Linked DNA regions of Cricetulus griseus. The protein of the gene in region 3 purifies or fractionates together with the protein of the main gene of each other region. This does not show direct contact. Links are inferred from orthologs where the notes say so. Each region holds a gene or a part of one and is shown on either strand. Other genes may lie near its edges. The genes, in order: Anxa2, Map4k3, Grb2, Pik3ap1, Inppl1, Garem2 and Arhgef5.

Evidence for each region.
Region 1: the proteins of Grb2 (region 3) and Anxa2 purify together in Homo sapiens (affinity purification with western blotting; 5 studies listed by BioGRID and IntAct, with this or other methods). This does not show direct contact. The link is inferred for Cricetulus griseus from reciprocal best matches to the Homo sapiens genes GRB2 and ANXA2.
Region 2: the proteins of Grb2 (region 3) and Map4k3 purify together in Homo sapiens (affinity purification with mass spectrometry; 4 studies listed by BioGRID and IntAct, with this or other methods). This does not show direct contact. The link is inferred for Cricetulus griseus from reciprocal best matches to the Homo sapiens genes GRB2 and MAP4K3.
Region 4: the proteins of Grb2 (region 3) and Pik3ap1 purify together in Homo sapiens (co-immunoprecipitation; 4 studies listed by BioGRID and IntAct, counting the BioPlex papers as one, with this or other methods). This does not show direct contact. The link is inferred for Cricetulus griseus from reciprocal best matches to the Homo sapiens genes GRB2 and PIK3AP1.
Region 5: the proteins of Grb2 (region 3) and Inppl1 purify together in Homo sapiens (affinity purification with mass spectrometry; 3 studies listed by BioGRID and IntAct, with this or other methods). This does not show direct contact. The link is inferred for Cricetulus griseus from reciprocal best matches to the Homo sapiens genes GRB2 and INPPL1.
Region 6: the proteins of Grb2 (region 3) and Garem2 purify together in Homo sapiens (co-immunoprecipitation; 4 studies listed by BioGRID and IntAct, counting the BioPlex papers as one, with this or other methods). This does not show direct contact. The link is inferred for Cricetulus griseus from reciprocal best matches to the Homo sapiens genes GRB2 and GAREM2.
Region 7: the proteins of Grb2 (region 3) and Arhgef5 purify together in Homo sapiens (affinity purification with mass spectrometry; 4 studies listed by BioGRID and IntAct, with this or other methods). This does not show direct contact. The link is inferred for Cricetulus griseus from reciprocal best matches to the Homo sapiens genes GRB2 and ARHGEF5.

What each region holds. Positions count from the first base shown.
Region 1 is NC_048597.1:181,009,017-181,012,949, forward strand, and holds the start of Anxa2 (annexin A2), read left to right. Parts: upstream 1-1,133; 5' UTR 1,134-1,241; intron 1,242-3,933. UniProt on the Homo sapiens protein: Calcium-regulated membrane-binding protein whose affinity for calcium is greatly enhanced by anionic phospholipids. It binds two calcium ions with high affinity. May be involved in heat-stress response.
Region 2 is NC_048598.1:82,523,315-82,526,814, forward strand, and holds part of Map4k3 (mitogen-activated protein kinase kinase kinase kinase 3), read right to left. Parts: intron 2,855-3,500; coding exon 2,765-2,854; intron 1,159-2,764; coding exon 1,090-1,158; intron 1,016-1,089; coding exon 923-1,015; intron 1-922. UniProt on the Homo sapiens protein: Serine/threonine kinase that plays a role in the response to environmental stress. Appears to act upstream of the JUN N-terminal pathway.
Region 3 is NC_048600.1:128,301,516-128,305,635, reverse strand, and holds the start of Grb2 (growth factor receptor-bound protein 2), read left to right. Parts: upstream 1-1,320; 5' UTR 1,321-1,479; intron 1,480-4,120. UniProt on the Homo sapiens protein: Non-enzymatic adapter protein that plays a pivotal role in precisely regulated signaling cascades from cell surface receptors to cellular responses, including signaling transduction and gene expression.
Region 4 is NC_048596.1:20,171,752-20,175,897, forward strand, and holds the start of Pik3ap1 (phosphoinositide 3-kinase adapter protein 1), read left to right. Parts: upstream 1-1,346; coding exon 1,347-1,359; intron 1,360-4,146. UniProt on the Homo sapiens protein: Signaling adapter that contributes to B-cell development by linking B-cell receptor (BCR) signaling to the phosphoinositide 3-kinase (PI3K)-Akt signaling pathway.
Region 5 is NC_048596.1:97,560,444-97,563,260, forward strand, and holds the end of Inppl1 (phosphatidylinositol 3,4,5-trisphosphate 5-phosphatase 2), read left to right. Parts: intron 1-324; coding exon 325-991; intron 992-1,222; coding exon 1,223-1,356; intron 1,357-1,464; coding exon 1,465-1,555; 3' UTR 1,556-2,317; downstream 2,318-2,817. UniProt on the Homo sapiens protein: Phosphatidylinositol (PtdIns) phosphatase that specifically hydrolyzes the 5-phosphate of phosphatidylinositol-3,4,5-trisphosphate (PtdIns(3,4,5)P3) to produce PtdIns(3,4)P2, thereby negatively regulating the PI3K (phosphoinositide 3-kinase) pathways.
Region 6 is NC_048600.1:14,173,114-14,177,353, forward strand, and holds the start of Garem2 (GRB2-associated and regulator of MAPK protein 2), read right to left. Parts: upstream 2,801-4,240; 5' UTR 2,774-2,800; coding exon 2,662-2,773; intron 1-2,661. UniProt on the Homo sapiens protein: Probable adapter protein that may provide a link between cell surface epidermal growth factor receptor and the MAPK/ERK signaling pathway.
Region 7 is NW_023276806.1:226,147,841-226,151,340, forward strand, and holds part of Arhgef5 (rho guanine nucleotide exchange factor 5), read right to left. Parts: intron 2,606-3,500; 5' UTR 2,594-2,605; coding exon 1-2,593. UniProt on the Homo sapiens protein: Guanine nucleotide exchange factor which activates Rho GTPases. Strongly activates RHOA. Also strongly activates RHOB, weakly activates RHOC and RHOG and shows no effect on RHOD, RHOV, RHOQ or RAC1.

The DNA.
Region 1 (3,933 bases), on a different chromosome or scaffold from region 3:
GCTATCCTGCTATCCTCGGAATGAACTGAGAGAGGAGTACAAAGTATAAACAGATGTTGTAGTCAGTTGGGAGCAGGGCTGAGAAGATAGCTCAGCTGGTAAAGAGCTTGTGGCCAAAGCAAAGGAACCTGAGTTCCATCCTCAATTCAGGCAGGTAAAATGGTTACTAACCAGCCAGTCTAAACCTAATTTGTGAGCTCCAGGCACCTTGTCTCAAATAACTCCTGAGGAACAGCGTCCCTGAGGCTGACATCTGGTTGGCTTCCACATGTGAACTACAGGCTCACACAAATAGATGGGAGAGATGATAAAGAACCATTAGGACCAGGAGAAAAGAGAGAGAGGTGAAATGTGCAGCTTAAAGACCCAGTGTGAAAGGTGTTCTGGATTCTTCTGTTAGCCTGAGGTTTGATGCAGTATGGGCAGTCACACACAGACATAGTTCACTCCTGCATTGTCCGTGTGACTGCCCCTGAAAATCAGGCTAGGAAAAAATGAAAAAATAAAATAAAACCCAGAGAAGCAATTGGTCAAGGGAATGAGAAAAACAAAACCCTAATAATCTACAATTAGGAAAGACGGTAGGAGGTCTTGTAGAGTGCTCTGAAGTGCTGCTGTCTGGGGGAAGGAGGCACCTGGGTGGGGGGGGGGTGCCTTACCTCTGAGTCTCCCTGACTGCTTGGAGGCCTTCATGCAGTTTCCTAGGCCCATTAGGCTCTCTAGGTCGTTTCAAATAAACCGCCCACCCCATGCTCCTCCATCTGGTGACCAGAGGTTAAACTAATATGTTTGCAGACGGTCATGGAGAGCTGGGTGCCAACAGCCTAACTCAGGGGAATCCAAGTATGTGTGTCTTGAAACAATTCTACCCTCCATTACCTCGACATCTAGAAGCCTATAAACAAAAGAAGAAGTGGATTGGGCAAGCCAGTCTGCTGAAATCTTAACAGCCGAGGGCCAGGCTGACCACTGGGCCCAATACCCTAGGAGTAAGGGGGGTAGGGAGGTGGAGGCTTGATGGGCCTGGGAAGGTGGTGAGGCTGTCACGTAGGGCAGGGCCGGGACTGGGCGGCGTTCCAGAGAGGGTGAGTCACCCGGAGCAGGGTGGGCACAGGCCGGGGAGGGGAGGGGAGGCGTGGCGGCTTTACGCAGGGAGGATGGGGCGGGTATAAAAGCCCCACCCAGCCCAGCCGGGCCGCTCGGCTTCTGGGGAGGCTTTCAGCGCTAGGCGCCCGGCCCAGGTAAGTGGGGCGCGGCCCGGTCATCCGCTATGGCCTCGGGGTTTCGGTGTTGAACCGGGAGCGGGCAGGCTCCGACGACGGGGACCCTGGGAGGCACCAAGAAGGATCCATCCCCTTGGGCGATCTACGCGTCCTGCCACAGAGTTGCAAAGTGTCCCGTGTGGGGTCGTGACACGTCTCTTTGCATACCACGCCTGGGGGGGGTGCAGGGCAGAGGTGGAGGAGACTGTGCTTCCCCTTGAGGTCCCCTGAGAAGCAGGGAGACCCTGTGTGGGGCGGGGAACCGAGGGGCTCGGCATTCCAGAGGTGCTAGGTGCCAACGGGGGACTGGGTGTGGCCGCTGGGGAGCCTGCAGCCCAACAGTGAGACATCTGTGGACTTTTCCCCTCCGCCTTCCGAACTGCGTCGTCCTCTCACTCTGAACCATAACTCCTGCAATTTCAGGTGTATTTCTTTGCTACTGACAAACGTAAATTTGTGAAGTCGGCGCGGGGAACCGGGCGAGGGCGGGGGCGGCGGCACCAGAACTTCAAGTCTTGAGTTCTTGGTGCCCTCCTTTACACAAAACAATCTCAGCTCAGTCTTTGTCGCGAACTCTAGATTGTTTGGTAGGACAGCGACCTCAGACCCTATTCTTTCTGAGGAGTTTGCCGCCCTGGAACGTGTGCAGAAAGAAGTATCCCCGGGTGGTTCAGTAGAGAAAGTTGCCTTGACTGCACTGAAGCCACCATGAGTCAATTGACAGAGTCTATAGAAAAGGGCGTGGCTCCTGAGCCCCAGGTTCCAATGCTGGCATGGAGGGCTGTGGCTCCAGAAGTTTCTTTATCTATAAAAGTGGTTTCCGAACCCTTGTTCTTAGCTCCACCCACACTGAGTTATTGAAGATTTCCGAAAACAAGTTCATTCAAAAATAGATAAGTAAAGCACACTGAAAACACAGCGTTGTACAAATATAAAAGAAAACAAAAAGCTGTTACTTGAGACATAGCGGTAATCTCAAAACTCGGAAGACCGAGGCAGCAAGATCCTGAGTTTGAATCCAGCCTGAGCTACAAAGTGAGACACCATCCTCCCCCTGACCCCCGTCTCAAAAAACAAACAAACAAAACGGAGAGCTGATCTAGCTCATTGGTAGAGTACCCCACTAAGACACACAAGATCCAGGCTTTTATTCCCAGAACCAGAATAACCAGAAAGTTATTCATTTGTGTAGTAATTTGCCATATTCAGTCCCAGCCCTTAACAACAACCATAAACTCTTGGAATCCAAGGTCCTCAGCCTTTAACATACAGGGGTATTATCAGATGAGTCTGCAACTTGGACTGGGAAGCCACTTCCCGGCTCTCCCCCAGGAACACTATAGAAGGAGTTTGGAAACCCATGCTAGCACACTCCCCCACCCCAATTAATTAATTTGCACTGTATCTGAGTGCTGCCTAATGGCAAGGAGCAGGATACAAGATGGGAGGGCGAGGGGTGGTCCATGGGTAGGAATAATAAATCACTGATGCGGTTTTCAGGGTTTTCTCCGTTTAGTTTTAAATATAGATTTGATTAAATCGTGTTAATTGAAAACTTGTGTCTTTGCCCCCTTCTCTGGTTTCTTTTTCCTGCTTCCCTGCCACCTTCTTGCGGTCTGTGTCCCTTGATGTGTTACGTTGGCTTTGGACACTTGAGCGGCCCCTCCTCCACACCCACTTCCTCTTCATTTCAGTGTGTGCTGCGCCCAGCCAAAGCCTGTGGGTCTGAGTCAGGGAACCTGAAGATGGCAGATGAGATCAGGGCAGAGCCCCGTCCTCTTCCACTGAGTCCACTGCTCACCTTAGATCCCGGGGTTTCTTTAGAAGAGCCCGTCGCCTCTGCTGCAGCAGGGGCAACCTCCTAGGTGCGCACCTTTCTGTTGAGGGTTTCCTGTTTGGTGTGGTAGAGAGAGAAGTTCAGGAAGTTTTGCTAACTAGCCAGGCAGCACTTAAGGCTTTGACTGAGAGCTTGGGTTTGGACTGGTGCCTCTCAATGTTTCACATCCTGTGTCTTTGAGTTATTAAAATACCCTATTGATTGGCATTACACATGCAGTCTTGGCCACTGGCTTCCTGACTAAGTTCCGATTTAAGTAGTTTTCCTGGCAAGACAGGCACTCTCCTAAATTGCTATTGATTTTTGAGAACTCTCATCTCTCTCTGCACCTTTGGGCCTGCATTAATGTGTGTGAGGGTTGATGGGAACTTTGGCTCTAATTCTTGGCTTGTGCTGGGTGCCAGACCTGTTTCATCTGGGGAGAGTGGGTGTGTTACAAAAGGAGTCCCAGGCACTGTGGGCTGCTTTCAGCATCCATTTGTCTTACAAACTGTCTTTTACGTACCCACTGTGTCCCAATCACAGTTATGGTACTGAGGATACAGTAGTAGACTAGACACACATGCATGCATATTCGTTCACTGTGTGCTTGTACATACAAACACAGCCCTTGCCTTTCAGATTTTGAATCTTTTAGGGAAAGAAAAAAAAAGAAAAGATACGTGTGTTAATTGTAGAGATAGCAATTTGATTTGACATTTTGTATTTTCCTAAACTAATATTTACTCACAAAACCAGCTGGGTCTCCATTCCCAGCTTCTATACAGTTGTTTCACAGACCTAGACATGGAGCTGAGCTTATCCCAAAGAGGTGTCTAAATAAACTGGATTTAA
Region 2 (3,500 bases), on a different chromosome or scaffold from region 3:
ATGCATTTCTTCCCAATTATCAAATCTAAATATTCTACCATGTTTGCCTTTGCTTCAAACAAAGACAAACACGCCTAGATCCCCTAAAGCCAACCCAAATTTCATCTGGCTGGCCCTCCTCTCTTGGACAGCACTGTAATCAACTTTGTATTTATCATTCTCAGACATGTTTATATTAACTAGTTCCACATTGTCATGGTAACTTTATGTTGACGTCTCCACTGTCATCCATTTGTTTTGATGAGCAATTATTTCTACTTTTCCTTATTATAGATGACGGCACAACAGTAATTCTTGTGTATGTTTCTGAAAACCTGCGCAATATTTTCTGAGGCACAGCATTAAAAGCAGAAATAGTGGGACAGAGGACACAGACATAAATAAGGCAAGAAGTAAATTTTGTTTTGTTTTGTTTCTTTTTTTGAGACAGGGTCTTGCTGGGTTGCTGGGGCTAGACTGGAACTTCCTACATAGTCCTGGCTGGCCATGACCTCTAAATCTTCCTATTTCAGCCTCTTGAGTTCTGTGAATACATGGATGCATCACTGCTCTCAGCTGAAGGAACTCTGAGTACCAGGCAACAATGGTATATTCACAACAGGACATACCAAATGCCAAATTTTAAAGCACTTATAGGGAATCCATAGGATTCTGGAGGAGATGTAAACTCATAAACATGTTTTAAGAAATACTGTTTAACTTTCTTTTGTGAATGCCACATCTGTGACGAAGGGAACATTTACAGCGTATATGACTAGTACACACACTTAGAGAATGTAGAAGAGGGGAGACTAATAGTGACCTCATACTATCATATCCAAATGAAAAAGGCCCTAACAATATATATTTGCAACGTCACTAACTATTAGACAGATCATTTTAAACAGTTCACAATGCAAAGAAATACAAAACAACGACTCACCTATGGATTCTATCTGGAAATCAAAGGTGAGTTCTGATGATAATTTCCTGCTAGATTTCAATCTTCCTTGGAGATTCACTATTTTTATACAACCTAGAGAAAAATAGAAGTCACTCAATAGTATGAACAGAGGAATGTTACCCGAGAAGATGCAAATGGAAACTTACAATCCAAGCACACGAGGATGGTGTCTCTCTCCAGCTGGGTTACATGAGTGACGTTTGTCTGTGGGGTATCTACAACACAAATACAGTCAGATAAGGCTACAGAAAACTACAAAATTTACAATGTTTGTCTTAAACAAAAAAAGAGTTGTGGACTGCTGCATTTTAAATGGATGGACATCGCTTACAGGTCATGCACAATGGTTGCACTGGGACACCTGTGTTCTGATGGTGATGTGGACAATGGGCACAGCAGAGCTGGCTCCTGTCAGTTCAACCGATAAGGGTGCCATTTATATTTACATTTGAAGCAAAGAGTCTCATCTTGTAAATTATGGTTCTGGACAATTTCTGATTTGCTTTTTGTTTTTTGTTTTTCAAGACAGGGTTTCTCTATCTAGCTTTGGAGCCTATCCTGGCACTTGCTCTGGAGACCAGGCGGGCCTCAAACTCACAGAGATCTGCCTGCCTCTGCCTCCCGAGTGCTGGGATTCAATTTCTGATTTTAAACTCAGAAGATCTGCCATGGGCTTTGAACATCATCAGATGCAATTGCCTAGCTCATGTGACCAGTGTGTATTAAATAAAAGAATTGGAGAGTTAACAAAATTACTTTTTAAGTATAAATGAGCTAAACTAAGCTTTTGTCAAGAGCTCTGAACGTGTCTGTGGGGTGTGTAGACCGTTGCGTGTGTTTTGTGCTTGCCTGTGCTCTGTATGTAGGCTAGAGATCAACACTGGGTGCTTTCTACAATTCTATTCTTTTTTTTAGACAGGGCCTCTCATTGAACCTGGAACTTGCTGTTTCAGCTAAACTGGACGGCCAACAAGCTCCTGGGGTCCTCCTGACTCTGATCCCTAGCACTAAGTTTCAGATACACAACACATGGTACCAGGGATCCAAACTCAGTTCTTCTTGCTTGCACGAAAGCACTGCACCCACCAAACCATCTCCCAGGCCTCAGATTATCTTTAGGAGACACTGATGCCCAAACAATACTCTCAAGATTTCCTGAGAAACTAGTGTGTGACAGACAGGCAATAGAAGTTAAAAACACAATCATCCCCTCTATCTTTACCTCATAAACTCTGAGAGATATTTTCTGTATTTATGGAAATCCTTCAGATAAAACCATGTTAAGTTTCTTGGAAGGGAGCTATTTTAAAGTCTTTTGTTAAGAAATGATGTCTTTTATTAAGCAATTAGGGTATATTTAAAATTAAAACACTTCAAAGAACTATGACATTATTGAAACTGACTGGCAGCAAAATATTTCTCATCCAGCAATCTTTTCCTGTTAAATAAAGACGAAATTAAAAAGCAGGTGTGTCCCAGCTGTCTCACAGTAGAGACAGTGAATAATGGAGCATGTAACAGACTTTGGGAGAACCAAAGACAAACCTTAAAATATTGCAAAGGGCTATATTATATACATCTTCCTTCCACAAGTCTCTGTAAAGACATCTGTTTCGAGTTCAGTGTGCTATTGAACACCTTGGGCTTCATGTTCTGAATGCATTTGACACCTTTTATTCCCAACTTCAGTATAAAAGTTCCTCAGGGTGTGTGTATGTGTGTGTGTGTGTGTGTGTGTGTGTGTGTGTGTGTGTGTGTGTGTGGTGTTGCTGTCGTTTTGGGGAAAGGGTCTTATGTAATCGAGGGTGGCCTTGAACTCACTATGTAGCTGAGATTGGTCTCGAACTCCTGATCTTCCTGCCTCCACCTCCGAAGTGCTGGGATTACAGGTGTGTACCACCACACTTGGCTCTACAGTATTTTTAAAGAGAAAAAAGTAAAAGGGGCTTTCTCCATCAATAGGTTGTTTAAAAATTAAAGATAAGACATTTAAAGGTTATGTTTTTTAAGTCTGAGAGTTCAATCTGGTTTATTTACCACAAAACTAATGTTGCATGTCTTTTATTTTGCTATAGTACAACATGTATTTCAAACTATAATCAAATTTCTATAAAAGGACTACTCAGACCTAATATTTGCTAAGGTAACTAGGGTAAATTACCATAAAGGAAGTGCCAGTTCAGCAATCTGGCAATATAAGTTTAATATTTGAAAAAATAAATTATATAGGAATTATTTTCAAACATCCTCACAAACACTTCAGAAATATTTATTAACTTACATATGTATCTGAGCTTTACATCATTTAATGTTTCACTAAAGATACTGAGTACGGTAATACCAATTATAGGAGACATCTGTACTCCAGGTAATGGAGATTCCCTTCCTAGGCATTGAGATTTATATACACATGAATTAAAGAAAATTACTTTCTTATGTGTTCTGGGTGTTTTGCCTGCATGTCTCTCTGTGTACCACTTCCCTGCCTGGTTCCTAAGGAGGCCAGAAGAACCCCTGGACAGACATGAGCTGCCATGTGTATATTTGCTGGGAATAG
Region 3 (4,120 bases):
GCCTGCCTTTCCTTTTGCCGGCTATGCTCTTACCCTGGCTCCTCTCCTGTGGAACTCCTACTCAGCCTCCAATAATCACATCACCTACTTTGTGAAGTCTTTTATATAGTGGGCAGAGGAACAGAGTGAGCCTTTCTCCATCTTTTTGGCTTCTGAAGCATTTCCCCAAACTGCTGTAACAGTACTAAGTCATTATTTAAATGCTTAGAAAATTATTATTATTATTTTATTATTATTTTGGTTTTTCATAACAGGGTTTCTCTGTGTAGCTTTGTAGACCAGGCTGGCCTGCCTTTGCGTCCTGAGTGCTGGGATTAAAGGCGTGAGCTACCACTGCCCGGCCATAATATTATTGTTATTATTTTGTTATTGGTTTTTTCAAGACAGGGCTTTTCTGTGTAACAGGTCTGGCTGTCTTGGAACTCACTTTGTAGACCAGTCTGGCCTCTAACTCACTAAGGTTCGCCTGTCTCTGCCTCCTGAGTGTTGGGATTAAAGGCATAGGCCGCCACGCCGGGCTATTTGAATTATTTTTAATTATGTATAAATGTTATAGGTGTGTGTGTGTGTGTGTGCAGATGAATGCTGGTGTCAGCAGAGGCCAGAGGCACTGAATACCGTAGAGCTGGAGTTAGCCGGCAGATAGCGTTAGCCATCTGATGTGGGTGCAGGTCCTTTGGAGGAGCAGCAAGTACTTTTAAGCTCTGAGCTGTCTCTCCAGCCCAAGACATGACTTGTTTACTTTTCTGCTGGCACTCTCGACTGAATCGCTTGAAAGCCAGGATCTCTGCTCGTCGTTTTACCTTCTTCACCCAGCACAGGGCTCGCCTACACTAGGTCTGTGTCAACGAACAGAGGAACCAAACAATTCATCGAGCGAACCAGACTCCCAGACAATCTAGGCCTGGTCCTCTATTGGATCGAGCCATCCTGAGGTCTCCCTTCCCTTCTCCCTCTCCGCCTTGCTTTGGCGGAACGGGAAAGGGACGTGATCCGAGTGTGGGAAGTGCTCTCTCTTCCTCCAGGGCAGAGCTCTAAGTCACCGGCTCCGGCACACAGAGGGTTACAGCGACCCGGGGGCGGAGCCAAGCCCGTGCCACCTGCTGCGGGGTGGGCTGGCGCATGCGCGCAGGCGCCCGCTGGGCTACCTGCCGGAGGAGCGCCTGCGCTCTGGGCCTTTCCGCCGGGGGAAGTCTCGCGGGGGCGGGGCGCGGCGGGGCGGGGCCGCGTGGGGAAGTTCTCGCGGGACCCTGCCTAGGAGCGGAAGCCAGGCTGCTGCTGCTGCTGCTTCAGCGATCGGGCGGCGGCGGCGGCGGGCGGCGGTCGAGCCAGCGAGCGAGCGAGCGAGCGAGGCTGACGCGGGACGGCGGCCGGGCAGCGCGGAGCCCGCCATCGGGGAGGCAGCAGCGGGGTTTGGCGGGCGGCAGCGGCAGCGCAGGGCGGGCCGGGCTGGGCCACGGAGCGGACGGCTGCGCCACGGTGAGTGCGAGGCGGGCGGCGGGCGGCGGGCGGCGGGCGGGCAGGCGGGCGGAGAGCGGGAGCTCCGTCGTCCCGGCGCCGCGGCGGGCGGGCTGCCCGGGCGCCGATCTGCTCGGGGCTGCCCGCGAGGGCCGCTGGCGGGCCGGGGATGGCTCGGACCCGAGCGCGGTGGCCGCGCCGCCGGCTCCTCGTTTCCCCTTTTGGGGCGCTTCCTTCCTGGTGCCGGTCTTCCTCCCGCTCGTGCGGCGGCCGATCGCCTCGGCGTGGGGCAGCCCGGAGCCCGCAGCAGCCGGCAGGCGCGGTGCTGCCGGGGCCAGGCTGCCGGAGCCCGGCGGGCGGGGAGTCGGTGCCGGTGCCGGGCTAGCGCGGTGATGGATGCGCCTTTGACCCGCGCGCGGAGCAACCACGTCACCACCTCTGGGCACCTCGCGGCCGCACAGTGTGCGGGAGCCCGCCGCGAGAGAGGACCATCGCTGCCCGCACCCGGCCACCGCTCTTTGTCACAGCGTTGGGCGCGTCTGTTTGAGAACTACTAGGAAAATCCTTGTCGGGAGGGGGAAGCAGCAGCGGCAGCAGATGATGGGAATGCGGGAGCAAGGATTCCAGCGAGAGAGCCCCGCTGGTTCATGCCCGTTTGCAGCGCTCCTGCGAGCCAGAGTTTGTTTGGAAAGTGGTTTTTTTTTTTTTTTTTCTCTTTTTTTTTCAAGCTGCCTTCAAATGCAATAGCAGTGCCGTTTGCAGAGGAGCCCAAGCGCGCTCAAGGTCCATCTTCTGGTTCTATTGACACTCATAAGAGGCTAGAGAAATGGGCTTTATTTTGACTTCCGCACCCCTCTTCACTTTGCTCTCCGGTTTTTGCCTTCTCAGTCTCCTTTCCACTCCATTTGTAGCGCTAGTCATTGGCCCCTCCACCCTCCCTTTAAAAATAATCTACTTCCCCTTCTTGCTGTTCCTCCGCTATAATTTTCGAAGTTTCTGCCCTTTTGGGCACTGTTAATTTTCCCCGTCGTCCCAAGATGCCTTTTTCTTTTTTTCGGGAAGATACCTTTCCTCCTGTTTTCATTCCTTTACTTTTAAACGACCACTGTATTCCTCAGCCAGAAGGGCTGCTAGCTCCTCATGGGGGGGGGGGTGGCGGGACGGGGACTAAGTTCTCTCCTGGGAACTGGGAGACTCAAAGGACTTAATTCATTCCAAAGTAGTCCATAGAGCCACCAGATCACAAGGGGGTTTTGCCGATTTTCTTGCATCATTTGTATTTTAGTGTTTTCTTCACAGATCATGGCCTTACACCTAGTATTTTCTTTCTCTTTCCTGTGTCTTTTCACTGTTAAGGAAGATTGAGAAATTTGGGGGCTAAAAGACTCCTTTTTGAGTTTTTAGTATGGCTAAGAGCTAATTGTCAAACGAAAGTCAGCTGTGGATTTTATGAATTAAGATAGCTTGAAAAAATAAGGGGACAGAGCTTTAGAAATTTGTGAATTAAAGCCTACCCATTCTAACTACTAATTTAGTCCTTACCAGGCTTTTAAAAATGATTTATTTTATTTTTGTGTGGGTGAGTGTATTTTGCCTGCATGTATGTAGGTGCCCCATGTGCATGCCTGGTGCCCTCAGAGGCTAAAAGAGGATAAATACCCTGGAACTGGAGTTACAGAGAGTTGTGAGCTGCCATGTGGGTACTGGGAATTGAACCCTGGTCCTCTGGAAGAACAGCCTGTGCTCTTAGCAGCTTGAGCTGTTATCTCTTTAGCCCATCTTTCCAGGTCAGTTGTTAGGTTTTAAGTGCTATTTATTGGTGGTACTGAGGGGTTCTTCAGTGATTTCCATTATGTCAAGTGTGTAGCAGCGCTTGTTATGTAGCATTATGGAGTGTTGGACTTAGGAGAGGTGACCACAGAACAGAGCCACCATGCTCCCCCCACAGAAGTTAGGACATACTGAGGAGCTTTACCAGTGATTATTGAGATTTGCTCTTATAGTGTTTGCCAAAGTTGGTTTTCCCCAGAGTTGTGCCAAGTTGAATATGTATCATTTTTATTTTGTTCAGGCATAGTACATTTTCTGGAATGCAAATTTTAAAATTTGCTTAAGATTCCACTCAGGTTTTAGCTGTGATTCTTAAAATTTGTATGCATAAACATTACCTGGCAATAAGTTAACTAGAAATTTTTTTTATCCAATTACTTTTTTGAGACACGTTCTTGATTTATATATAGTCTACACTGGACTCAAACCTTTTATTTATTTACTCATTTACTTACTTTAAGGCAAGGACTCTCTGTGTAGCCCTGGCTGTCCTGGCACTTTCTATGTAGACCAGGCTTACCTCAAACTCACAGAGATCCTCCTGCCTTTGCTTCTCAAGTGCTGGGATCAAAGGTGGGCACCAGTATGCAAATAGGCATAGCCCTGCTTCAAACTTTGTATCATCCGGCTTCAGCCTTCCCCCAGGGCTAGAATTTTAGGTTTATGCTACCATACTTGGTAGGGGTATTCTTTACTTTTTTAATTAGGCTGTGGTGGAACTCCAGCAGTGTAGTGTAGTGTAAATGTTTCCTCTGAGATTGAAACATTTTAGTATGAAGCAAATAATTCAAAATGGCTGCAGGAAGGCCCTGAAACTGACCGGATTCACCAG
Region 4 (4,146 bases), on a different chromosome or scaffold from region 3:
CCAAAGGACTTAGAGGTGGATACAGGAAGCATCAATTAAAGCCATTCTGACAATACAGAAATGCTTCTATAATTTCAAAGAACTCTAATAGTGTGGAACGGCATCGCTGTACATCAGAAGAGGGGTGGAGGGCAAAGATACCCTAAACAGGGAGAATGGCAGGCAGCATGCTCACTTTGGCTTTAGGAATCCTTGTGTGTGCCTGTGTTAGGCAGAGAAACTGTGTCCAAAGATGCCCAGACCCCAATCTCTAGATTTGTTAATTTGCTACATTATAGGACAAAGAACTTAAGTTGTAGGTGATATTGAGGCTGCCACCAAGGAGCTGTTAGACAGCTTTTCCTGAAGGATCCAGGCAGCTCAGTACATTCACTTGGGGTCCTTGAAAGTGGAAGAGGGAGGGGCCTGGTGAGATGGCGCAGGGTAAAGGTGCTTGCTGCCTGGCGTTGAGCCAAAGTTTGTTTCCACGATGGAAGGAGAGAACAGACGCCTGCAAGTTGTCTTCTGATCTCTCCATGTGATCTGCAGCATGTGCATGCATACTCACTCCCACACAGCACACGAAACAAATAAATAAAAACTTTTTTTTCTTTTTAAAGCGGAGGGAGATAGAAGAAAGCCAGGGAAAGAGCTCTGATAATGGAAGTGGAGCAGTAGTGTGTGGAAGGCCCTTGTCGGTGATAACATCCATCTATCACAGATTATAGTTAACACCCATGTGCCCTCAGAGGCCCAGATCCAAGAAAATGCAGAAGGGTCACAGGAGGGCACCCAAGGGCAACGCCGAGACCCCAAGAGCCAGGTGCTCCTCCTTCCCCTTCCGCAGGCCTTCCTTTTACTTGGCGGGGGGGGGGGCAGCGTCTGAAGGACAAGCCCCAAGGGACAAGGTGGTTGGGACAGCTGTGCTACGCATCCCCACCTCAAGTCCCCCAGACCAGACAGCCCTGTCCTCTCTGCTCTCCCTCCCCCGAGTTCCCGCATCTCAGGCTGCTCCTTGCGGCCACCGAGGTGGCTGCCTGCTTTCCTGAAGCACGGGACACACGTGGCACGAGCAGGGGTCAGCGCCGGGAGCTGGTGGCTGGCCCTGTGGGCTTCTCACTTCCCTTCCCCAACCGCCGCGCGTGCAGGTGCCCAGCGGAGCCCCGCAGGCAGGCGGGGCGGACCCTGTGGACACGCCCCCGTGTGAGTCCCCGCTGCCCCGCGGGAGGAAGCGCCAGAGTCGCCGCTGTCCTGAGCGCAGCTGGGTTCCACTCCGGTCCCGTGCCAGCGACATCGCCCACTGCGGCTGCGGGCACCGGGTACCGTGCTCCAGGCTGGCCGGGGATGCGAGCTGCTCCCGCGACGGCATGGCAGCCTCAGGTGGGTAGCAGGCGCGGAGCTCCTGGGCTCCCGGCTCGCGCCCCCGCCGCTGGTCCCCGAGTTTCTCTGGCGCCACCCTCACAGCCTGAGGGACTTTTTTTCTCACTTTTTTTAGTCGTTAGTGCTGGAATCTTGTATTCTTTGCGGTCTTTTCTCAGGTCTCTGTCGCAAACTTCCCCTCCCAACTTTCTCTCGTTTCGCCTGGCCGGCCTGTGAGCGATTCTCTCCAGCTCCTTCCTGAGGCTTACCCCATCCCAGTTTCGAAGTCTACTTCTCTCTCTCTAGTTCTGCCCAAGTAGTCCTAAGATCTCTTTCTCCTCTGTAACTTCTGAGTATTGAGACAGGTGAAAGGAGGTGCTTTTCTCTTAGGGTCTTCTCCGACCAATAGGGGGCGCTCAGGAAGTCCTAGGTGTTCCTGGGAGATCAGAAGTGGTCCTGGGTCAGCTTCGGAAGTCCCTTTCCTCCACCGCGTTTGTATCTTTCTTTTTTTCTGGAATTTTGCTGACACCCGAGACTGCTGCTTCGTTAGTGTTACTCTCACTGTGTTCTCTGTGGAAGTTCAGGTCCAAGGAGAATTGGAAATTGGTGGACAAATCTATCCATCAGAAGGTGACAGCGTTTCTTCTGGCTGGCTTTGGGTTTCTTTCTGGATCATGGGCGTGTACACTTGGCAAGTCCTCAGCTCGCTGAGGTCTAGGACAAGCCACATAATGATAATGATGAAAGACAATTGATGAGCCCTGTCTGTACACCTTAGTGGACAAAAGATGTGTTTTGGTCTTGGTGATGACAAGGCAGGCCTGGTCTCTGTTCACCACCGGGTTTTGGTGGTGTGAAAGAAAACAGTAAATGGAGAATTGCTAGGTGAGAAGAGAGAGTTGCCATGTTTTCGGTTTGGTTTACTTGTGTTTACCCAGCCCACATCTGATGTTTTTAGAGACAATACATGAAAACAGGAAGAAAGAACTGTAGTGGGCTGGGGGAAAGTCAGCCCTTGGAAAGGAAGGGAGCAGATGCTAGATTGAAGAACCAACCTTCTCTAGATCTGCTAAGGTCTAGCCTGAGGCCATGGTACTTAGGAACAAGGGTACAAAGGGCTCTGATGGTACAGGCTCATTATTGAAGGCAGTGGGAGGGTGGTTCGAGGACAGGGAAGGCAACAACTGATTTAATGAAGAAAGTACTTGGCATGGGTATGTGTGATGGGAAAATGGACAGGAGTGAGGGGTCTGAGTTAGAATTTTAAACAGAATGGCTAGGTGAAGAAGTCTCAGAACAAGGGAAATTAGTCAAGACCCAAAGGAGGGGAGGTAGAGGGCCCTGGGCAGGAGAGGGCTCCAGGGAAGAGCCTTGTTCTCAAGATACAGGGAACAGCTATCATGGCTGGGTGGATGGAGGGGTTGGCCAGAGGAGAAAATAAACTGGCCATTCTTCTGTCTCCTTTCCTGGCTGGAACAGGTGAACAGCAAAGTGGGAAGCCTTTGAGCAAAGGAGGCCAAGCAACCTGTTTGTCTAGAAGGCTGGCTCCAAGGGGTGTAGCTGCAGAGGCTAAGCTAGGTGGGTGGACTCAGGTTCAGATGAGAATTAGCCCAGCAACCAAACCTGGCATGCTAGGTGGAGTGGTGAATAAAGCTATCCAAACCTCTTGCTGTCAGTGTTCTCTGTGGTGAGACACCATGCCAGGTTGTGTGAGCGAGACAGGGTCCCTCTGGGGTCTCTGAGGTCTATTGCTATAAATACTCCTGAGAGCAGGTCAAGTTGGGGGAAAGCCAAGCTCTTCACTAGTTTGCCATAGGCTGGAGAGTCATCCAGGCCCCCTCCTGTATGGTGTCCTTATTTTTAAAATAATGTTATAATATGTTTATACAAAATGCTATGTGTCTAACCTTTTGACTTTGTGACATGACATCATCTCCAAAAGAGTTGAGTCACATTCATAGCTATCCTGGGACACATTCAGCTTATGGGCTACTGATTGGGCATGCCTGAAGGAATGCACCCAGTGGTTTTTAGTGTCTTCACAAATACGTGACTTTGAGAGGAATGTCACCACCTCAAAGAGAGGTCTTCCTTTTGTTGCTTCCTTTCTAGTGCACTGATCTGCCTCAGCCTATGATTGCCCTGTCCTGGACTTGCTCATGAATGGGATCGTGCAGTCTGTGGTTTTAGTGACTGACTTCCTTCACACTGCATAATGTGCTTAAAGTCCACTCAGCTGCTCAGTTGTAGCCTAATCTTTTGGTCTTCTCAAATTCCCTGCCACTGGAGGGTGAATGTCAGTCTTGTTTCCTGAAAGATGCGTATGCTCCTTTGCTTGACATCGTGGAGAATCTTGGCTCTTTGGCCTTGAAGGAACCTTGAGTAATGAGGTGAAATGCCACCAGCTTGTGCTGGAATCATTTCCCTTATTTACCAGAGAGATCGAGAAAAGAGACTAGGATTTCCCCGAGGGCACCAAGTGTGCAGCTGGTGAGAACTGGAGTCCCCACTTCCAGGCCTTGGTCCCCCAAGAGCCCGAGGAAAGCTCTCAGACCTTGTCCTGCCCCCTCTTTCCAGGTTCATCTATAGATCTTCCTATTATTCCTGGATTTATAGGATCACAGGGCCAGCACCATGGCTCAGCTAGTAAGGGTGCTTGTCACCAAGCCTGATGACTTGGGTTGGTCCCCTGGGACCCACATGGGAGTCCCTGGGGAGAGGGAGAACCGAATCCTGCAAATTGTTTCTGGGCCTCCACATATATGCCGTGGTTTCACGAATGCACACAGTGTGCACAGACACATAGGA
Region 5 (2,817 bases), on a different chromosome or scaffold from region 3:
CAGAAGGACTCTCAACAGCTTCTGGAGGCTTTTCTGATCACTTTGGTCACCCTTATGAGAGGCTTTTATCACCCATTTGAGCTCAGGTTTCAGTTATAAAAGAGCTGAGAATGTGAGCATATGAGGAAAAGGAGTTAGGGTTTTACCTTCAACACTCCCCCTCCAGTTTCAGAGGTTATGAAATCAAAGGCTCAGAGTGAGTCCACTTACCCAAGGTCATGTGCAATTCAAGGACTAGGACCTTGGTCCCTTCTTCCCCAGCTCCCTCCCCTGTACCCACCGCTTTTACTTTGGGTTCTGATGGTTTTCCTGCTCTCAAAATAGGCTGAAGTCAGAGGGGACAGCTGAGCTGGAAGGAGTGGCAGCCCCTGCACCCAAGAACAGCTTCAATAACCCTGCCTACTATGTCCTGGAAGGGGTTCCACATCAGCTGCTGCCCCTGGAGCCACCCCCATTTGCCAGGGCCCCTGTCCCACCTGCCACCAAGAACAAAGTGGCCATCACAGTGCCTGCTCCCCAGCTTGGGCGCCACCGGACTCCTCGTGCAGGAGAGGGAAGCTCATCGGATGAGGACTCTGGGGGCACACTGCCTCCTCCAGATTTCCCACCTCCACCACTGCCGGACTCAGCCATCTTCCTGCCCCCTAGCCTGGATCCTTTATCAATGCCAGTGGTCAGGGGCCGAAGCGGGGGTGAGGCCCGTGGTCCACCACCTCCCAAGGCCCATCCCAGGCCACCACTACCCCCAGGCACCTCACCTGCCAGTACTTTTTTGGGGGAGGTTGCAAGTGGGGATGACCGATCTTGCTCAGTACTGCAGATGGCCAAAACACTCAGCGAGGTAGATTACGCTCCTGGGCCTGGACGCTCGGCACTCCTCCCCAGCCCCTTGGAATTGCAGCCTCCCCGAGGGCCTTCCGACTATGGCCGACCCCTCAGCTTCCCACCACCCCGCATCAGAGAAAGCATCCAAGAAGACTTGGCAGAGGAGGTGTGTAGACCAGGGCCTGATGGCAGGTGTTCCTTCATTCTGTCACCCAGAACTCACTGGTGTCCACAGCCCCCTTTGCTTGTAGCTGGGTAATGGGCCTTTTGGAGACACAAGGATCAGCTTATTCCTTGCCTTATTTCCCCTCAGAGCATGGGTAGAATGTGGCTGTTTGCATGTGTTTCTGTGAGGAGCCACCCTTAGTTCTCCCCCTAACATGCCGTATTCCCTTAGGCTCCGTGCCCGCAGGGCGGGCGGGCCAGCGGGCTGGGAGAGGCGGGCATGGGTGCCTGGCTGCGGGCCATCGGCTTGGAACGCTATGAGGAGGGCCTGGTGCACAATGGCTGGGACGACCTGGAGTTTCTCAGGTGGGGGCGGGGTTGGAGGTGGACAGGGAGGGGTGTCTGGCCTCAAGGGTGGGATTGTGGGCCCTAGAACCTCTTAGCCCATCTCTCAGCTTCTCTTAATTCCTGCAGTGACATCACTGAGGAAGACCTGGAGGAAGCTGGGGTGCAGGATCCTGCTCACAAGCGCCTTCTTCTGGACACCCTGCAGCTTAGCAAGTGATAAGAGATGGCTGCCGAGCTACAAAAGCAATGCTCTTTCCCCTTTGGGAAGGGCATGTGCAACCATGGGCTGAAAAGTTCCGAGGGGCGTGGCAGTGCATTTTTGTCTATTTATTGGGGATCAGTGTTCCCTACTGCCTAGTTTGGGATGTTCTAATTAGGACAAAGAGCTCCCCACCTAGCTTTTAGGTCCAGGGTCGGGAGTTCAGTAGCCTGTGGTAAAATGAAGCACACTGGTTACTCTGGTGTGGACATCTCCCAGCCTCAGGGTTGTATGTGGGGTATAGTTGGGTACATCCTGGTCCCCACTAACACCAATGTTTCCACTTCCCTCCCTCGGACCTGAAACACACGAGTTCCTCCTTGCAACTCCTACTCTGGGGACGTCCTCCGGAAATGAAGGAAGAGCCCAGAACTGGGCTGGGTTTATTTAAGTTTTGCTGTGTGGGTTTTGGAGAGGGAGGGCACATTAATTTTATTGGGGTGGGGCAGGACCTCGGCCATAAAATGCAGATTTACCTAGTTCTGGCAGTACCTCTGGTTCATAGAGCCCTTGCCCAAGGAATGCGTGGCAGTCTGCTGTAGAGAAGGAGGGAGCCTCGCTGGTTGTCACCTGTCACCGCACTGGAAGACAGGGTTTTTGCCAACAGTTTATCCCATCTTGGGCACTCGGAAAGGTTGCTGGCTTGATGTCTTCAATAAATTAAGTTTTATTTGGATTGAGCAAAATCACCTTAATAAATTACAAGTTTTTTCAAAGAAAGTAAGGGGAAAGGAAAGCCACTTTGTTACGTTCCCGACAACCCTTCCCCTCTACTGTGTGGTGTGTGTCTGCCCTCTGCACCAGACTGGCTAGGGATGGGAAATTGGTAATGGGACCCCTCAGGTTGCTGATTTTAAGGGGTGGCTGGCCCAGTTGGCGGAAAAGCACGGATCTGTCAGTTCTGCTTCTTACGACCCTCTATGATTGGGCACTGTTAGAGACAGGTGTAATTTGATCCCCGGTTTCTAAGAAAGCCAAGCTAGAAAGGGCTTCTGGCCGCCCTGGAGGGGATCCTGGTGAGAATACTCCTCTCCGCTGGGTGCCGGTGGGTGAGGACAAGAGTGGCCCTGGCTTGTTTAACAATGTAAGGGATCCACATCTAGGGATCAGACACTGGGCAGTGGGGACAACGGGGCGCTTTTCGGCAGGCGGCCGGGATAGGGAGGGACTGTCGGGTCCAGTAGGATAGGGGTGTCTCTTGGGGCAGGCTGGGTGCCTCC
Region 6 (4,240 bases), about 110 Mb from region 3:
TCAAGCCCCTGCCCAGGAATTGCTCCCCGTGATCCCTGCACTGCTCAGCAACACTGGGGGGTGGGCAGTCAGCTGTCAGCTGTGGCCTCTGGGCTGTGTGAGTCCATCCTGAACCTCAGAGCTCTGACTCCCTGTGGGGCCTCCGCAACTATAGCATCCACAGCGTCTCATTCATCATCCCACTGCAGTGTCTGCTGTCCCAGCCCAAGCCGGGGCTGGGGACTCCCAGTGGATGAGTCTGGGCCAGCCAGCTCCTGCCCTCCAGGCATGTTCAGGCCTCAGGAGGTGGGGAGGAAGCAAGTTTGAAGCACTGAGCTGAGCGCTTGTAGGGATGTGGGGGAGGGGGACATCATCAGGCAGGGGTGGAGTAAGAGAGACTTTGTTCTTGAACCAGGCAAATTCACACCAGCAGGATCCCACCTAGTCAGGACCTAGGCTAGGCAAGGGAGGACCGAGGAGGAATCTGTTCCTGTGGGTCCTGTCTAGGAGAGCTCACAAAGTCACTGTCAGCTAGCTCAGAGTGGCAAGGCTTACAGGAGCCCACTCCTGGATCATTCAGAGAGACACTCTCTCTCCACCCACTGCCACTCAGTCTCATGGTCACAGGACCGGGGGAGTGAACCCTGGACACCCAAATCTCACCTTGAGAACCCATTCCTTAAAGTTGGGGTAAGACATGCAGGGGATTTAGGAAACGCAATAGGGGGAGGAGGGAGACTAGGCTTCAGAAAGCAGCACTAGGGCAGAGGTGCTGGAGTTGGGAGGGGTCTGGGCCCAAGAGGCTCCATCCCCAGCAACGGTTTCCAGGGGAGCAGGACTAGCAGCCCAGCTTCCAGGAGACTGATGGGGCGTATCCTGGATGCAGCTGGTGGGCACAGTGGGGGTGGGGATGTCTCCTTCCCAGCCCCCTACTCCCCACACACGGGAAACGGTTTACTCTAACAGTGCAGGGGTTCAAAAAGCATGCCCATATGGTGTGTATGAATGGGTGCCGTATCCGGGGCCTTCAAGGGAGGATCGTCCACTCTGTGTGTGAGTATGTGTGTGCCAGAGCATGCCAGGGGAGGTTTGTCTGAGACTTCCTCCTCAGCTCTCTAGCTCCTGGAAGAGATGAAGGTCTGCCCTCTCCAGCTCTACAAGCTCTTTCTTAGGCCTAACCTAATAGGTAGGCCCCACCCACTCTTCCATAGGGACACAGGCCAAAGCCACACAGGTATACAGGGGTCACCATCACCAACAGTTCAAATGCCTGTCACCTAAACAGCACAACTCAGTATCAAGGAACGATTCCTGAATGCACACCCACGAGGGGACCTCAAGGACACAACATTTCAAGTATACATTCATACTGTAACGGTGACCACAGTCATAACCACGCGGTCACAGGCACCATTGCTCATTCCTTCATTCATTCATTCATTCAATGAATGAATGTCCACTCCACGATCTTTGTCTGGCCCTCCCCCAAAAGCCAGGTGGTCGGTGGCAGAGGCACAGGTGTCAGCGCAGAGAAGGCCTAGCCTATACACAAGGGCTCAGAAAAGAACTCAAAGAAAGGGGTGTCAAAGAGATGCGTGGGAAGTGAGCAGGAAGAACCTAGGGCAGAATTTCCTATTCACAAGCAGACACAGCCCAGCTGCACACACAGTCTTGGGATCACACGCTGAGCGGTAAGTGAAGTCCGACAAGAGTTCGACTGCCAGGTATTCCTGCTAATGGACCCGGACACCGATGTCCCACAGAGCGTGTTCCAGCCTGCCTGGTGCCCACTGTACCCAGTTCTTGCTGTTGCCGGTCAGAGGAGAGGCTGCCAGTCCAAGAAGAAGACAGCACAGGAGTCCCATTAGCATTCAGGGAAGCGAGTGTGCCAACGCGGGCCAAACCTCTATTCTTCTCACACACAAAACCCCCCGGCCTGGCTGCCAGCCCCGGCTCCCGCCCCTCCCCCAGCCAAACAGCTCCCCTTTCCCCCAACACTACAGTCCTCTCGCTCGGTGCAACCCTCAGGCTCTCCCAAATAAGGTCCCGGTCCCATCATCGGAACACCGGGGGACTGCTGGAGAAATAGAACCAGAGGTGGGGGAGGGCCGAGGGTCCTGTGCTGGGGGGGAGAGGGGGGACGCCTAGTGGGCCGGCTCACTCAGGCCTCTCCTGAGGGTAGCCCGCCCTTAACCAGAGGACCTTAGGATGCCAAAGGACGGTTCAAGAAATGTCCCCAAAAAGGGAGTAGCGGGTGATGGTAGGGGAAAGAGTTCCAAGGGACGCAGGAGGACGAAGGTGAGAGGCTGAAGACAAAGGGATCAAGGGGGTGCGGCCGGCCGGGGCAGTGGTGGACAAGCGCCAGGAAAGCGGGGTGCACCGACGGAGCGGCCCAGAGGCTCAGCTACGCTCTTGGCTCCAGAGGGGACTGAAAACTTTGTCCCAGCCGTGCGGCCAGTTTCTATCACTGTGCTCAGATGGGGCTCAGAAAGCGGTCCCCGGGCTCGGGGGCTCCGGTTGTCTCAGGAGCCGCCCCAGAAGGCAGGCGAGGCTCGGATCGCCGGGGACTGGGAGGGCAGGGGCCCAAGTGCACACTGCGGTCCCGCCAGCCCCAGGCGAGCGGGGCCCCGACTGTCGGCGCTCTTGCACGCCACCCCTGTCCCCTCCCGGGACACCCGGTACCTGGCCCGAGGCAGGCGAGCGTGGGCAGGCGGCAGCGGCTGACGATGAGGTCGAGCGGGAAAGCGCCCATGCTCCAGCGCAGTCCGGCCAGCCCGGCTGCCAGCTTCTCCATGGCATCGGAGCTCTCCGGGGGCCGCCGTCTCGGGGCCCCGACGGCCAGTCCCGCGCGGCTCGGGCTCCGCGCCCGCCGCCACCACCCGGGGCCTTAGCAGAGCTCCCCTCCTAGCAGCCCGGCCGGGCTGCGGGAGTCACGTGGCCGGCCTCCTCCCACGGGGCGCCGGCCCCCGCCCCCATCCCCGCCCCGCGCCCCGCCCGCCGGGCCCGCGACCCCCGGAGTGCCCAGGTGACCGCCGGCGACCCCACGCTCGGGATGGGGAGAAGAACCAGGTCCATGGGGTCCTGGCCCGGTGTCCTAGGTGTCCCCTTGTGCCACTGCTTCGTGGAGTCCGTATCCATCTCTGCTGCGTTACCCACATCGGCTACTCCAAGCTGGAGGCTAGCGAGCGGCGGGGATGCTTAGACTAGGGGGAGCAGAAAGGAAGGTGACACTTGGGATCTAAGTTGTCTCCGAATCCTTGTAAGAGCACTTTCCAAATCCATCCCCATCCCAGCCCACACTACAGATGGGAAACAGGCTCAGGCACCTGAACGACTGGGCCAGTGGCTGAACTCGTTTTTTCATCTTCTCTTTCTTTCCCCGTCAACGTTCATCCCTTCCTGCTGCAGCTCAGGAGTTCCCTTAGGAAGACAAGCCTTCCCAGAAGCTGTGCTGGCCATGACCTCGCACCCAGCCTGAGGCTCTCTTCACCTCAGTGTGCCTGCGGCGCCCTCTGCAGGTGCAGGCGGGTCGTAGCTGAGTGCCCTCCAAGAAGTGGACCTTGGCCCCTAAGCTGGTCCTTAAAAGGCTCCATGCATGGACTCTGTGCCCTCAAGAAACTTCCACGTGTGTATACACAAACCCTTACATCTGATGCATTTGACATTTGGCCTTGAGCCCCAAAGGAAATGGCAGCAGATGACACTTTATTTGTTTTTGTTTTGTTTCTTTGAGACAAGGGAGTGTGTGTGTGTGTGTGTGTGTGTGTGTGTGTGTGTGTGTGTGTGTGTGTGTGGTCTAAGTTAGCTCACTTTCCTGCCTTAACCTCCCTCAATGCAATGGGCATCACAGCCTTGAGCCGCAGTGTCAAGTGCAGACACCAGCCCCCAGCTTTTTCCTTTTATTTTTTTATACCCAGGACCTGGCACATGCCAAACAAGTGCTCTAGCACTGAGATACATCCCCAGCCTGTCTTTCACTTTTGGTCTTCAGATAAGGCTCAGTAAGTTGCTTGGACTGGCCTTGAACTTCCTGTCTAGCACAGCCAGCCCTTGAACTTTCAAACCTTTTGCCTCAAGCATCTGGGATCATAAACTTGTGAAATCACACTGCAAAGGAACAAAGCCCATCAATCACTTCCTGTGCCCAGCTGACTGGTGCCATTACCCACCTGGACCTAGTCACCACTTGTAGCCACCAGGGAGTCTTCTGCAGGATCAGTCCTTTGAAAGCACTCTTTAGCCCCGGGAATGCATTGAGATT
Region 7 (3,500 bases), on a different chromosome or scaffold from region 3:
AGGTCCGTCCAGCACAGAGAGTGGAGACTGGCCAGTCTTGGCCAGTGGGTCTTGGTTTGGCTTGATCCCCTGAATGTATAACTCCCCCCTGGATACTCCTGCTCCTCCCCTTGGATTTCGGGGGTAATGGCGGTGGTTCAGAGGGAGGGACTGGAGGTAGAGGCCTGTATATCCTTGGTATACTAGAGGGGGAGATGGGAGAATTGTGCTCAGGCTCATAGGGAGTTGGGGGTAATGGTTTGTTGTATCTCGGCCTTGAGATGGAAGCCTGAGTGTGGTGGGGACTTTCTGGGGTGGATGGCAGAGGGCGGTGCTGTCTTGCCACAACAGACTCAGGAACTAGGGGAAATGGGCCTCTAGGAGATCCATGTACCCCCGAACTCAGGGCCAATGGAGGAGGATGACTATGTCGCTTCAGTGTGGGGGCTCCTGCATGAAGATGGCCATCTCTCTCTACTGAGGAGCTATAGCTATGTCTCTTTTCTGGGGGAGGAGGGGGCAAAGCTTCAGGTGTCCTCGTATCCATGGAGACAGTGGGTGGAGAAGAAACATTCACCGGAGAACCTACAGCAAAGGCTGAGTGCTGTGGGGAGCCCCACAGCTGACCAGCGCAAGAATCGCTCGGCCTGTCTGGATTTGAAGGGAATTCTTCAGAGTCCTGTCTCACACCAAGGAAAGCAGCAGAGGATTCTGAAAAGACGATGCCGTCCCTACTTCTTCTGTTTCTCCTCGGGATCAAAGAGCCATAGATGGCGGGTTTGGGGGGCCTCTGCGGTAACTCCAAATGAGTGAAAGAAAAAGACATTCCCACAGAGTCTGGAGTCTGTTCTGTCCTGTGAAAGCCTGGGAACGAGTTACTTCTTAGATGTTGGGTGGCTCCAGTATAGCTGGTGAGAGGGTTGTGAGGGTTGCCCTTGTCAAAGGTACCACATGGGTCCTTGGTAGTTTTTGCAGGTACTGGAGGAGTCTCAAATGGCCCACAATGAGGCGGTGTGTCAGTTGAGAGAGAGGCTGCTAGGGTGTCCTTCCCAGGAAGGACAACTGGAGAGCTAACAGGTGACAAGGTGGCAGTGATCGGTAAGACTTCAGCAGGACTGGAAGGAGCTGAATTGGGTGTCCTTGGAGGAGTCATAGCTATATTAGAAGAGACAACATCAGTCCCCTGGATGGACACTGTCTCCTTCCTCACCCCGGCTTCTTGCCGGCTGTTGTGAGTCCTATCATCCAAGGGTTCTTCAGTAGCAAAAGAGTCAGGTGGAGAAATGGGTTGGAGAGACCACTCTATTGGCTCTGGTGCAGGAGTCAGAACTTGGGGGATCAGTTCCTGGGGAACGGGCTCCCTCTGAACCCCAGGAATATCAGCCACAGGGCAAGAGACGCCTGGAAACAATGTACCTGACGACAGAACCTCAGGAGCTACGAGAACCACCGGAGGACAATGCTTGTCCTGTTCTGTTCTCCCTTCCTCTGCTGCCTGCCCACCCTCACCTGAGGCTACGACCTCCTCCTGGTCCTCTGCTGGCACTGCTTTTCCTGTGCCACCATGATTTTCCTGCTTTCCACTCACACCCTCTGATTTCTCCACTAACCTTTGATTCTCTGCAGACTGAGCAGCCCTCCGCCTGCCTTCCACCGCCCTGCATCCCCTGTCCTGTCCCTCCTCTTCTGGATCCCTCCCGCGCCTGTCCTCTTGACCCCACTCCCTGGAATCCAGACCCTCCAACTCCCCACTGAGCTCACTGCTCTCCCTTTGTCCTCCAAGCATTACATGGTTTTGGACCTGTTCCTCTTTCTGTTCTTCCTCACTGCCATTAACCCCCTCTTCCTCCTCTTCCTGCTCCCCAGGAAGCCCATCAGTGCAAATGTTTTCCCTCAGAGTTCCTTCCTCCTCAACTTCCACTTCCTGTCCTTCCTGCTCCTCCAGTCCCTGGGCCTCCTGGGGTTGGAGGAGTCCTTGCCCTTGCTTTTCTTGTGTGTCTTCCAGCTGCAGCTGTTTCCCCTGCTTGAGCTGGTCACTCCCATGGCCCTCAGTCTCACCAGGGTGCTTTGTGCAGGGAGGCCAAAATCCTCTAGGGAGAGAGGGGCCTGGAGACCTTTCTTCTTCTTTTGCTTTGCTAATTGCCAATGCCAAAGACATGAGTTCTGGCTGCAATTCTATCTCCACTCTGCTGTCCACGTTGCTGGAAATGTCTAGCCATTCTTCCTGAACAGCACAGGCCAGGAGCTCAGGGACAGCTATTGTTCTTGACAGTCTGTCTTTAAGGTTCTGGGATACTGGTTCCCGCTGATCTACAGTGTCACAGGCCTCGGCCACAAGGATTTCCTGGTTGGCCTCCACATCTGAAGAAACTTCCTTTAAGAAAAACCCCATGCTATCAGGTGTGTGGTCACTCATGTCCCTTAACTCTTTCGGATGGTTCATCAAGGGTCTGTGTCCATCTGCCCACTTGTAGGATGGGTCTTGGCCTTCTTGAGCTTCGGGCTCCAAGGCAGGGATCTGACTGCTCCTCATGATAGCTTCAGGGATCGCCTGAACTTCTTCTACAGCAGAAATGGGTGCAGATGCTCCATGGTCAGGCTCTCCAGCCTCCATCAGGGCTGAATCCTAAAGAAGAATACAAAACAAAGTTTCCAGTGCCTCATCTGTGTTTGTGTACAGGGGAGAGATCACAAAGAAGACGAATGGGAAACTTCTTCAGTTCAATTCAGGATCACTCTTCAGGACAATGAAATGGGCACCAGCCCTTGTATGTGTTGCTTAACTTTATTTTTAAATTAAACCAAGCTACAATTCCTGTTTTTCATTTTTACATTTATTTTTATGTATACATAATCTGTATGTACACGCAGTGCCCACAGAGTGCAGAAGAGGGCAACTGATCACATGGAACTAGGGTTATAGGTGCTTGTGAGCCTTTAATATGGGTGCTAGGAACTGAACCCTGGTCTTCTGAAAGAGCAGCAAGTGTTCTTAACTGTTAACTCATCTCTATAGTTCCCAAGAGACTTAGAGGGGCTGGGGAGATGGTTCAGTTGCTAAGTGTAATAAAAATTTATCTAGAGAGAATGAGAAGGTGGCTCAGTTGGCACACACACACAAGGACCCAACACACACAAAAAAATACCAGGAGTAGTAATATGTGACTGTAATATGAAAGTGCAGGGGTGGCCAGGGACAGTCTAGTCAATCCATGAGTGCCAGTTCAGTGAGCACTTGTCTCAAAATACAAGGCGGAGAGCCTTCATGGAAGATGTCTGGCCTCTACAACAGAACACCACACACAGACACACACACACACAACACACACACACACACACACACACACACACACACACACACACGTTACCTAGTGACCCTTAAGTGTAGGACAATCAGCCGTGACCAAGACAAAGCTCCTGGTGGATCTTGAAGTCTCGTGGGAAAAACTGATTACAAACGATTCAATTAGCATTGAAGACCTTTGTCAAAGAGTTCCAGGAACTGCCAGTGGTCATTGCCC